Linked DNA regions of Rhinolophus ferrumequinum. The protein of the gene in region 3 purifies or fractionates together with the protein of the main gene of each other region. This does not show direct contact. Links are inferred from orthologs where the notes say so. Each region holds a gene or a part of one and is shown on either strand. Other genes may lie near its edges. The genes, in order: EXOC6B, RALB and EXOC8.

Region 1 (3,746 bases), on a different chromosome or scaffold from region 3:
TCTATTTCTGCCCACCTTGAACACTTGATCTTGAGTGTTTCCTAATGCCACGGTTCTGATTGTGTCACTCTTCTTAAAAACCCTCAGTGAATTCTCATTTATCGTGTTATGTAACAATTCCAACAGTGATCAATAAATATGATTTCTAAATTCTAATCTGGGGAGTTTAGGAAATGCATGATCAGAACGTCCAGATGTAGAACCTTTAGTCTGTATTTAAAAAAAAGTTTCTAGGTGTTTCTTACACAGTTGGTTGTTGGACCAGTGAAGCCATTAGAATAAAGTACAAATTTCTCCGCCCAGTATTTCTTTCTACTTTTCCAGCCCATCTCTTACTATTACTTCTTCTACATAAGTGCAAATGGAGTTCTTGCTGGCTTTCTGAGAACTCCTCACACCTTCCAGTAACACGGCTTAAACTTCTAGGCCCAGTTTATGAATCCTTCGCATCCAGAGGTGATCTCTGGGCTCGATTCTCTGAACTGGCTGACAGCCACGTTCTGCCTTACCTCTTAGTTTGGGTTTCTCCAGCTTTCTCCTCCGCACCCCCTAACCCCCCAGCTATTAACGTATCTGTCCGCAGAAACCCAGTCCTTTCTTATTATTTGCGCCTATAGAGCCTTTTGAGATTTGTGGCAAGGGTCTTAAACAAAAATGTGTGGGATTAGTGCCATTGCTTGACTTGACCACCGCTGCATGCTGTCGTTTACTGTTCCCGGCTTATAGGGCGGCTTTCCACTCGTATTTACAGATTTAATGAATAAATGAACGCAACCCTACCCGACGTCGCCCAGAAAACTACAAATCCCAGAAGGCATTGCGTGGAATGTCGGCGGACGCAGTGACGAAGGGGGCGTGCCGAGCTTGAGGGCGGGGTCGTCCTGCGGGTAGCCAGAGGCTGGGGAGGCTCTGGAGCTTGGGGTGAGAGTGGGAGCGAAAGGTGAGCTGATCTGAAGAAGGGGACACTCTGCCGGGCGCCCCCATTCTATGGATCGGGGTAAGATGGCGGAGGCGGAGAGCCTGGAGACAGCTGCGGAGCACGAGCGGATCCTGCGAGAGATCGAGAGCACCGACACGGCCTGCATCGGGCCCACGCTCAGGTACCCGGGGTGCCCGGGCCATGGACCGGCGGGCACGGGTGGGACGGGCGGGGGGCAGGCGCCTTCGGGACCGTGCGTGTGGCCTTCTGCCCGCAGTGCCAGCGCCGGCCCCTCCCTTCGGCGAGCCCGGCGAGCGCCCTCCACCCTCTGCGAGGCGGGTCTCGCTCCGGCGCCCCGACGTGGGGTCCCTGCCCGATCGCCGGCTCACAGCCCAGACCCTCCGAAGGCTCCTCTTGCCTCCCTCCGGGCCGGGGCAGCCTTCGCCCTTCCTTCGAGGCCAGCCTGGCTCCGGGCAGCTGGAGCGCGCCGGACAGATGGTGGCTCTTAGCAGGCAGCTCTTCCCCTGAGGACATCACCCTTCTCCCTCCGACTCAAACCCCGTCCTGTCCTAGACAGACGCCCTGCTGTCCAGACGAAACAGAATTGCACCCCGGTCTGTTGCGCGGAAATTAAACTCTTGCCGTGGTGAAATCACAACCCCTGCTCGGAAACGAGTTCCTGAAAATCCTAGGCCGGGAAGGAAGGAAGGAAGTTTCCTTCAACCCGCGCCGCTCTCCTGGGAGCCGCTGCTCCCTGAACCCTGTCGGGAGGGCGACCTCTCCGGAAGGTGCTGCCTTGCGGGAGCCTCGTCGCCGAGAAAAAGTTACCCCCCTCCCGTCCCTGTTACCATCACGTTGCCCACACACCCCCGTTTTATTTGGAGATGTCAAAACACACCCCCACCTACTTCAATTGGTTTAATAACCCGTAAGTACCCCTTACTATGTGCAGCGCAAGACATTGTCTTCAGCAATTTACAAATGTAACTGATTCAGGCGGCGAAACCATCCTGTTCGGTAGGTCCTATTATTACCTTCATTTTACAGATGAGGCACTGAGAGGTTAAGTGACTTGCCCAAGGTCACTGAGAAAATAAAGTGGGGGCGTTGAGATTCCTACTCAGGCAGTCTGGATCCAGACTCTGAAGTCTTAACCTCTGTCGTTTTGCCTCCTTTGGGGATTGGATTACCATCTCCCTGTACTTCCGGTTACTTACTTACCTAGCCCAGTTTCAAACCACCTTTTCCTTTCCCCTCGGTTTCCTAGAGCCCTAGAACTAACTCATCTGCCTCCTTCCTGTGGTACCTTCTGATCTCCACGTAGCCAACAGATCATTGTCTTAACCACCTTGTCCAGTCTTAGGTCACTGCTCCTCCCTTCAAAAGAGAGTTATTACTCACTGCTTGTTTTTTCATGGGGAGAGTTGCCTCATGAAAGAGTGTTTCAAGGAGGGGCAGGCTGGAGACTTGACCCTTATCTCCCCCTGCACAGCTTCCTTCTGTTAGCACAGTTCTTCCAGTGCCATCCCTGAACGTGACCATTCCTAGTAGTTTGCCTTTTGTCCCTTATTGCATGATGATCACGACCATCATGCTCCTCTCTCTATCCATTTTCCTGAGCTCTTCAGGGTGAATGATCGCTCCTCTTTTCATTATCTTTTATAAAAACTAACGGTTACTTACTAGTCTTCTAAGTGCATTATTAATGGGTATTAGTATTTGGTTTTCATAAAACAAAGTGTTACTAAAGTTAGCTGAAGATGCTGCTTCAGTATTCTCCTAAGAAATTTGGCTGGTGAGCTGCATTTGGCAGCCAAGCAAAGCTCCCACTGGAGCAGATGGGATTACCAGGGGTTTTAGGAAGTGTTCTTTCTCAGAACACGATCAGTGTTGTCTTCAATTGGTTATGGTTTTCAATTGCTGTAGTTCTTGGTTTATAGGATAATGACTTTAGTTTCGTGTTATCAGTTTAGTTTGTTGTGATTTATTATGTTAACTCTCCGCTGAATAGTAATGCATATTTGTATCATCTGAATTTTGGCCTGTAATTTTCTAGTATCTTGACTTAAGAATGTTGCATTATGGCTCAAATATAAGTTACCGTTTCCCCCTAAAATTTGCTTCATTGTTCTCACTGAGTTCTTTTCCCACAGGAAAGTGGGGTTTTGTGGGGGTAGATGGATGAAGGGATCTTTTGCCCTAAGTGGATCTGGTAAAGAGAAAAATGGGTTAGAGACCTCTGCACTATCCTATCCGTTTTGGCTGCTTTTCCTTACTCCCTGTATCATTCTCAGGGGCTCTTCATTTTTGGCCTCATCCTGTCTTTGGCAGATAAACCTAAATCTTATCATCAGAACCAAGACTCAATCACTTGACTGTCCTATAATGCAAGTATTTATTACCCCCGTCTTTGTTTTCAGTCCAGCTTGTCTCTGCCCATATTCATAGGGGATGATCTCAGCTTTTTTCCTTATCCCGTTCAGAGGTAGCAGCATGCACAGACTTGATGTGTTAGATCCATGCTTTACCCTGGATGCACCTCCATCATCATTATATCCCGTTTTTCCACCACAGTACAGTCATTAACCAGATTTGATTAAGGCACTAGGCTCTGTTCCCTAACTTTACCCTCAACTGTTAACGCCTTTACCCCTTTTCATAATCTTTCCTATTTCTTCCATCTTTTGGGGTAGCATTTTTTAAGGCACCAGATTCTTAGGTGTTCCTGAGTAACTGAAGAGAAATGAAAGAACAGGGAGTAACCGCAAATTGATAGCAGATAGAAGATTAGTATACCCATCCCTAAAATTCTTGCTCTTCACAAAAA
Region 2 (3,746 bases), on a different chromosome or scaffold from region 3:
CCAAACCTGTGCACTTAATCCTTAGTCTTGGGTCTGAATTCTCTTCTAGGTTATAAATACCAGAGAGCTTCCTTTTTGAGAAACCTCCTCCTACTTCTCTCCCTTATATTATTAGTAACTAGCAGAATTTCTGTCCTATAATTAGTGTGCAATAAAAGTCTTTAATGTATATGAAAAGGGTAAAAACAGAACACTTAAGATTGTAGACTAAGACTAGCATATCCTGGTTACATGTTTTTTTTGTTAAGCCTGTTAAGACTAAGTTAAATCTGTGCTTTTTGATAAAGCTGTTGGTGGAAGCCCTGGATCTGTTAGTTGCTTATACATAGCAATCTAATCAAGGCACAAAGCCTCTCATATAATACACATGTATCCTAATGTGTACTTATCAACAACGAAAGAATTAATTACATGGTGCTAGCTGCTGTGAGTATCAAATTGAACAAGCACTACTTTCCTTCCCCAGAAATTATAGAGGTGGATATTTAAACAAGGAATTGTAATACACTGTGTCCCGCTGTGAGGTTTGCGGAGGGGTCAGATGGGCCAAAATCCTGAGAAGGCGGAGGGGGGTGGGAGGATTCAGCTCTAGGAAGGGGAGGTTAGTTAGGAAAATCAACCCGAGGTCAAACCCTATATGGACAGAAAATGAAAAGTTTCCGTGCCTTGGAGGCCGATGGCCGGCGGGGGGCAGGTTGTGAGAGAAAAACCTGTCGGGCATGAGCTTGCCCACTGCACTTCCTGCCTCAAGGCTACCGCTGGGGTTAGAATTCTTGACCTTGTAATCTGGGTCCAGTTATTGCTAGAATTGATCAAGTAACTCCACTGCTGCTAATGAGACGTCATTAGCCAAGCGAGTAGTGGCGGCAGGCGGAGGTCGCGCCACAGGAGACCCTGGCCGGCGTCCCACGGGCCACCTGAACCCTTGGACACCCGCGCGCCGCATCGTCATTTTCCTTGCTTTTCTGTCTCAGGTCAGTCCTTCCCTTTTACTTTCCACTACTTTGGTCTCGCCCTCATCTAAATTCACGACGGACGCGCCCTCCGCCGCCCACGCCCAGGGACCCCAGACCTGGCTCCTCCACTACAGCAGTGGTCACGTGCAACTCGTCCGGCGGTGGAAAGTAGGCACTGGAGGGGGGCGGTGTAGGCGTGCCGAGCCCGCCCCTCCCGCCTGAGGTGGCTTATCATTGGTTAAGCCTTCTCCCCAGCCTCCTGAGGCTTGGAAATTCTGCTTCGGATTGGGTAATAGGCTCTCAGTGGGCGTGGCCACCCAGGACAGGCACGGAAGCGAGGGCGCGCTCTCGAGAGGTGGGGTTGCCTAGGCGACGCCGGGGGCGCGCTCGGGGGTGGGGAAGCTAGCCCAGACTACTCGATGACAAATCGCCTGGGGACTGCTGGGGTCCGGCCCCTGGAGGAGGCAAAGGAGAGGGCGGGGCGGGTTTAAGATCGGCGGGCCGGCTGCGGACGGCCGAGGCTGCGCCGGACGGAGCCCAGGTAAGAATGTCCGCGCGCGGGCAGGAGCCCTCGGAGCGGGGTGGGGCGCGGGCTGGGGAAGTGGGGTGCGTCGCCCTGAGCTTGGTGTCCGTCTGACCCCGCGCTCTCCGCTCTGGGCTGTGGCCGGCGGTCGAATACCTCGCGCCGCGAGGCCGGCGGAGGGCGACGCTGGAGCAGCGGCCCCGGGAGGTACCCGGGAGAAAGCCTCCGGGCCTCCCAGACCGGTCTGGAGCTGAGGAACTGGGGGCGGCGCCCCAGCCTCTCCCTTTTCGCCGCTCCTTCCCTTTTCCCACAAATGGCCTCTGCTTCCACTTCCTGTTCACTTCCTCAGCCCCTTAGTTGGCGCTCTGGGCAGGATAAAAGCTAAAGTGTTGCAAAAACTTATTAGTACCTTAAAAACTTGGACTGAACAGGGGACGTGTTCCAAAAGTTGCTGAGTTGCTGGGTCTGTTTTTGGTTCTGTCTTGCACATGAGCATAAAGTTGTTTCTTTGCGACCCCTCCCCCCAATTTCCTTATGATACATACTAGCACTGAACGTGGCTTCTAATAGGAATCACCATGGACTTGAACTGTTTGCCTGGACCAGGGTTCAGCACCTCTCTTCTTGCCCTTTTATAGGTATATAAATAAGGTTATCCACGGTTGTTTCAGAACTGCTAGTGGCAGAGGTAGCAGCAGCGCCCAGACTACTTGTTTAAAAGTGTCCCTCTCTTTGCTAATTTTTGGGTGAATACTGGAAACGTAACTTTGATGTTGTTATCGTTGAGTTTCTGGGGAGAAGGTCTTGTGTTGTTGCTGATTTAGAATTGCCAATGGAAGAGGCTTGGCTGATTGTTCATTTGAGCCATCTGTGACTTGATTTGAACCCTTGTAGAACAGTGAACTTCCTGCTTTGTCCTAGTTTCCTAACCTCATTTCTTTTTGTTAAGTTTTGGAGATGGATAGTGGGCACTGATTATCAGAGAGGACAGCATACCTTTCAGGTGCATAAATGACCCATGTTCTAAGCAGAGCAGTAAGGTTCTTGGATGTTAAAGCTCGAAACAAGGTCATGTCTCTTAGACCTGGAACCAATAGAATATCGAAGTTCCAGAAATGGGACGGCTGTGGAAGGTAGCATTGAATATTGGGAAGAACAGGAGGGCAGGGTGTGAAGACCTAGGTTTGATGCTGGTTCTGAAACTTGATTATCTTGAGTATGACTTTTCACCTCTCTGTGCTGCAGAATCCACAGCTGTAAAAAGGTGATATTTATCCTACTTGTGGGCTTAAAGGAGCCAGGAATGTTTAAGGCGTTCTTTGTGGTAGTGGGGGTGGGATGGAGGTGGGGGTGGGATGGAGATAGGGGTGGGAATGAGGCCAGGGGTACACATCCCCTCTGTGGTTTTAGTCGAGTCAGTGAGTCGACTTTCCTCTGGCCACATTTGGGTCTTTCCTTCTGTGGGGACAAAGCTCTGGAGAGCAGTTTCCAGGCTCTCGGCCTTACATGGAGGGGTGCTGGCTCGGGTAGTAGATGACCGTCGGCTGTGGCTAGTTGACCGTCAGCTGTAGCCGGTTGGGGTTAGCCAGTTGGCCACCGATATAACTGCCGCTGCTTTGGGGAGGGGGAGTCGGTCGGTTGGCAGAAAAGCGGACAGCAGGTCGCACGTGTGAATCCAGCCTCCGGTGAAACCATAGTGGTATGACTCCCCTACCTATGGCTCCGTGGGGGTTCCTTTTTGGCCTAGCCACATCCTGCGTTCTTATGTGGGGAGTGGGAGCAGAGACCCCGCAGGCCGCCCCGTAGGCCGCCCCGCATGACACCTTCCTTTTCTGTTCACACTATTTCTCATTGGAAAAGTAGGTACTCTTGTCTGAGATCTCAGCAAGATTTTCCTATGCCTGAGGAGTAGAACCTTTCCCAGGATTTTGTCTGGAAGAAGTGGGGGTATAGTTATTAGATATCTTTTGGGAATGTGGGACCTAAACACTCAAAGACAGGAAAACACGAATTAGAGCCTTAAATGGGATCTAAATGGATCTTGGTAGAAGGTGGAAGAAGTAGAAAAGTTCTAAATACTTGCCTTCATTCTTTAAGGTTCTTGCCTTGGCTGAAGATGGCTTGAGACTGGAAATTTTTAAACCAGAGTTGAGATAATCCTTTGTGCCACATCACTCAATCCCACAATACCTCTTTGAATTCAGTTACTAAATTCTTATCCAGTCGTAGAATTTGGAAACATTGTTGGAAACCTTTTTTGAAAGCTC
Region 3 (3,746 bases):
CACACGAATGAGTCTAGAAGCATTCCTCAGGTCCTGGAGCTGCTTGGCGGGTTTCCCCACACCTTCCTCGAACCTTTTCTCCACCACAGGGAGGACTGTTTCGTACAGGAAGGACGCGTTCTGCCTGATGAAAGCCTTTTTCTCTGGGTCCTGCTCACACCGGAGACTATAATCCACATGCTGAACGGCCACCAGGATGATTTCTACCAGGCTCTCCAAAAGCACCATGTGCAACTCGGGGAAGTACAGCTTCAGCGCCTCCTCCAGGAAGCCCATGGTCTGCTTGGTGAAGGCGACCACCGTGTAGCTGAGGTTCACCCAGCAGCCGTCCCCTGTGTACTGCTCGAAGTTGCTCACCCCGCAGCTCTTCATCTCCTCTTTGAGTTTGCCCAGGGCCTCCGGGGTCATCAAGTTCATCCTTCTCCACAACTCCTCGGAGTTGCGATGCTTCGTGGCTTCGATTATGATCTCTTTGTAACTGTGCAAAGCCCCCTGGATGTCTTTCACCAGAAGGGCGTGGATGATGAAGGTGAGGTCTAGTCCGATGTCACCCAGTTGCTGGCAGTGCTCCTTCGCCACCTTCACACACTCGGCGGCGGTAGAAAGGCTCTCCTTGCTATCAAACACCTGCTTGCTAAAAGCATCCACAAACATGCCCATGGCTGACCTCGCCCAGACCACAAAGGCGGAGTAGCAGCCACTGTCAGTGCCTGCAAAATCCGTCTCAAATTCCCGCGCAGTCTCAAGAAGGCTGGTAAAGAAGACGTGGCACAGCTTATGGATGTAGAGCAGCGTGGCGCCTTCAATGCGCAGCTGCCGTATGGCTGTGTGCACCGCCGCCGCCCTGTTTCTCAGAAACAGCTCACAGGCCTTGGTGCACTGGCCCAGCCGGATGAGCTGACAAACCGCCCTGCGAGTGGCCTTGGGACCACCCCGCAGGGACCGATCAGGGGAGAGTTCAAACACCAGCACGTCGGTGAGCTGTCGCACGCGCTCATCCACTCTGGCCCTCAGTTCTTTTACAGGAGGGGGGCTGGGCTTATCTTCGAGGTAATGGTTCAGTTTATCTAGCAAGTCCACGGCCCCTTCAAAGTCCCTCTGCGCAATGCAGACATCCAAGTCTTCCGGCAACTCCTGGATCCATTCCATCGAGAGGTCCACCTTCTCCTCTTCTACCTCAGGGACGGCCGGCTCATCTTCCTCTTCGTCCTCAAACGGGTTACTGGCCTTGGCGGTCACCTGGGGCGGCCCTCGAGCGGCAGCCGCCTCCTCTTGTTCTCTTCGTCTTTTGTCACTGAGGGCCCTCTTGGTTTCCTCCAGCACTTCCAGCCACTCTCGTTTGATTTTGGCATTTTCCGCCTGAAAAATTCGGCTCTCGGGAAACATTAGCAGCTTGAACATGTCCTTCATGGGCGGGTTGTCCTTCACATTGACCACGGCCAAACCGTCTAGGGGATAGAGGGCGTTGTAGCGATACATCCCCCGCCGCTGCGGCAGCCAGGTGGCCACCAGCAAACAGTCGTTCATGAGAAAGCCGTGCACCCGCTGCAGCTGGGCCATGTGGTCCGCCTCATATTCCACCAGGTCCCCGTTGTACACCAGGTACTGTCCCGGCGTCTCCAGCAGGTGCCTGCAGCCTTCCACCTTCTCCAGCAGGGTGGTGAGAGTGCGCTGCTTTCCTTCCTCGCCCGGCCCCGCACAGTCGCGGGAGGCACCCCCCGGCGCGGGGAAAAGACCGGCCTGGCCCCGGAGGTGGTCTCGGCCCCCAGTGCCACCTCCTCCCTCCTCCCCTCCGGAGGCCGCGGCGGCCCCGGCGGCGGCGGCAGCCGGCAGCAGGGTAAGCGGGATGCTCTCCAGGCTGCTCTTCTGCTCGGTCAGCAGATGGCTGAGCTGATACATCTCGCTCTCCAGGTAGGAGATCTCGCGGGCCGTCTCTATGAACTGCCGGTAGTTTTGGTAGACGTTGCGCTTCAGGTTCTGCGCCGTCTCCTCCGCCAGCGCCTGGATGCGCTGCCGGTGCTCCTGCAGGTCCCGGTCCCCGTCCGACTGCTGCGAGAGCTGCTTCACGTACAACCGCGCCTCAAAGCCCGCTGATTCCAGCTGCCGCCGCAGGCGGCTCGCCCCACTGTCCGATATTGCCATCGCCATTTCCGTCTGAGTCTCACGCAGTCACTGTCACTGTCGCCGCCGCCGGTGCTGCCGCTGTCCCGGCCCACCCAGGCCCCGCGGAGCTCCAGGGCTGAGGAAGCAGGATTGAAGACGGACCAGTACGCCTGCGCCCGGGTCTGAGCTTCAGATTGTGCGCGTGCGCAAGGGGCCAAGTGCACACAGTGCGCCTGCGCGGGAGCGCCCCGGCATTGAGCGCTTGCGCTAGAAGAGCGGTTGCGGAAGTTAGTGGAGGGCGAGGCACAGAGAAGTAGGCATTGCGCATGCGCCGAGCCTGACTGTATGTCGGAAGTTGTGGTCGTCTTTTAAAGGCAATAACCAGCTTCCTGAAACCTTCCTCAGCCCCACGCCCTGGGAACCCAAGTTTTGAGCCCGCTAGGAGATGTGCTGAGTTCTTTTTATTAAACCCTCGAGTTTTGGCTTCGGGGTTTGGGGCAAGCTCAACTCTCATTCTCGAGGCAGTTTTCCTGGATTTCTCGCGAGATCCGCGCGCTGAAGCGAGAGCAGCTCGAGAATCGGTTATCTCCTAGGAGTTCGACGGGGCCCTCAGAACCTCCCGGCCGTGCGGCGAGCCTAACGCCTGCGGACCCCGCCTGGGATCTTGGCAGCGATGGATGAGGACCTGGTGTTGGCGTTACGGCTTCACGAGGAGTGGAACTTGGAGGTCGCGGAGCACGGTCTGGTCCAGGAGCCTCTGTCCCTGGTGGACGCGTCCTGGGAGTTGGTGGACCCCACCCCGAATTTACAGGCCCTGTTTATGCAGTTCAACGACCAGTACTTCTGGGGTCAGCTGGAGGCCGTTGAAGTGAAGTGGAGCTTGCGCATGACAATGTGAGTCCCGAGCCCCGCGGGGGAAGAGAGGCGGGCTGGCGGTTTCCCCGCAGCCCCGGCCCTGGGATTCTTTTCTGTCTCCGCCCCGACGGTTTCAGGGTCCGTTAAACGAGGGGTTCTGGTTTTGGACCCGACAGCTCCTCTGGTGTGTTTCTCCCTGCCCCCCTCTCTCTCAGACAACTTTAAGAAAGCTGTATGGCCCACCCCGCTACCGTTTGACTTGTAATGGATACAGTGAGAAAAAACGTTTCTTTGACGCTTACCTCATTTGAAAATAAATGAACGCATATCTGATTTGTCACACGGTAGTGCTTTAGGACCCAGGAAGGAGCAGCAACCGGTGCGCCCCAAAGAAATAGTGCCGAGGACGGGGTGCTGTCCTCCGCGGTGCTCCTTAGGGCACCTCCACTGTGTAGTGGGCGGGGTGGACGTGCCCCGTTTCTGGACCCCAGGAATCTTCAGGGACGCCGCTAAAAGGATCCCTTTCCTACACACTAAGGCTGAGAAATTCCAATTTGAAATAACCTACTTTGTACAGGAACGCAGTTACAAGTTTAAGATGCGCTTGTGTACCATCCTGCTTGGTTTTGTTACAAAACAAAATAAAACAGATTAAGATATGATACAGAATTGTGTTTCAAGTCCAGGTCTCCATATAGGCTTCTATTACCGTTTTGGAGAAGTGTTAATGGAGATCTGGCTGAGTGGCGACAGCTTGTCGGGAGGAACAGGGCGAAACCGGATTGTCT

The links.
Region 1: the proteins of EXOC8 (region 3) and EXOC6B purify together in Homo sapiens (affinity purification with mass spectrometry; 3 studies listed by BioGRID and IntAct, counting the BioPlex papers as one, with this or other methods). This does not show direct contact. The link is inferred for Rhinolophus ferrumequinum from reciprocal best matches to the Homo sapiens genes EXOC8 and EXOC6B.
Region 2: the proteins of EXOC8 (region 3) and RALB purify together in Homo sapiens (affinity purification with western blotting; 6 studies listed by BioGRID and IntAct, counting the BioPlex papers as one, with this or other methods). This does not show direct contact. The link is inferred for Rhinolophus ferrumequinum from reciprocal best matches to the Homo sapiens genes EXOC8 and RALB.

Annotation. Positions count from the first base shown.
Region 1 is NC_046296.1:18,747,184-18,750,929, forward strand, and holds the start of EXOC6B (exocyst complex component 6B), read left to right. Parts: upstream 1-875; 5' UTR 876-987; coding exon 988-1,100; intron 1,101-3,746. UniProt on the Homo sapiens protein: Component of the exocyst complex involved in the docking of exocytic vesicles with fusion sites on the plasma membrane.
Region 2 is NC_046291.1:91,174,001-91,177,746, forward strand, and holds the start of RALB (ras-related protein Ral-B), read left to right. Parts: upstream 1-1,350; 5' UTR 1,351-1,497; intron 1,498-3,746. UniProt on the Homo sapiens protein: Multifunctional GTPase involved in a variety of cellular processes including gene expression, cell migration, cell proliferation, oncogenic transformation and membrane trafficking.
Region 3 is NC_046310.1:25,594,270-25,598,015, reverse strand, and holds the start of EXOC8 (exocyst complex component 8), read right to left. Parts: upstream 2,277-3,746; 5' UTR 2,149-2,276; coding exon 1-2,148. Other genes in the region: DNA-dependent metalloprotease SPRTN, read left to right, coding at 2,777-2,997. UniProt on the Homo sapiens protein: Component of the exocyst complex involved in the docking of exocytic vesicles with fusion sites on the plasma membrane.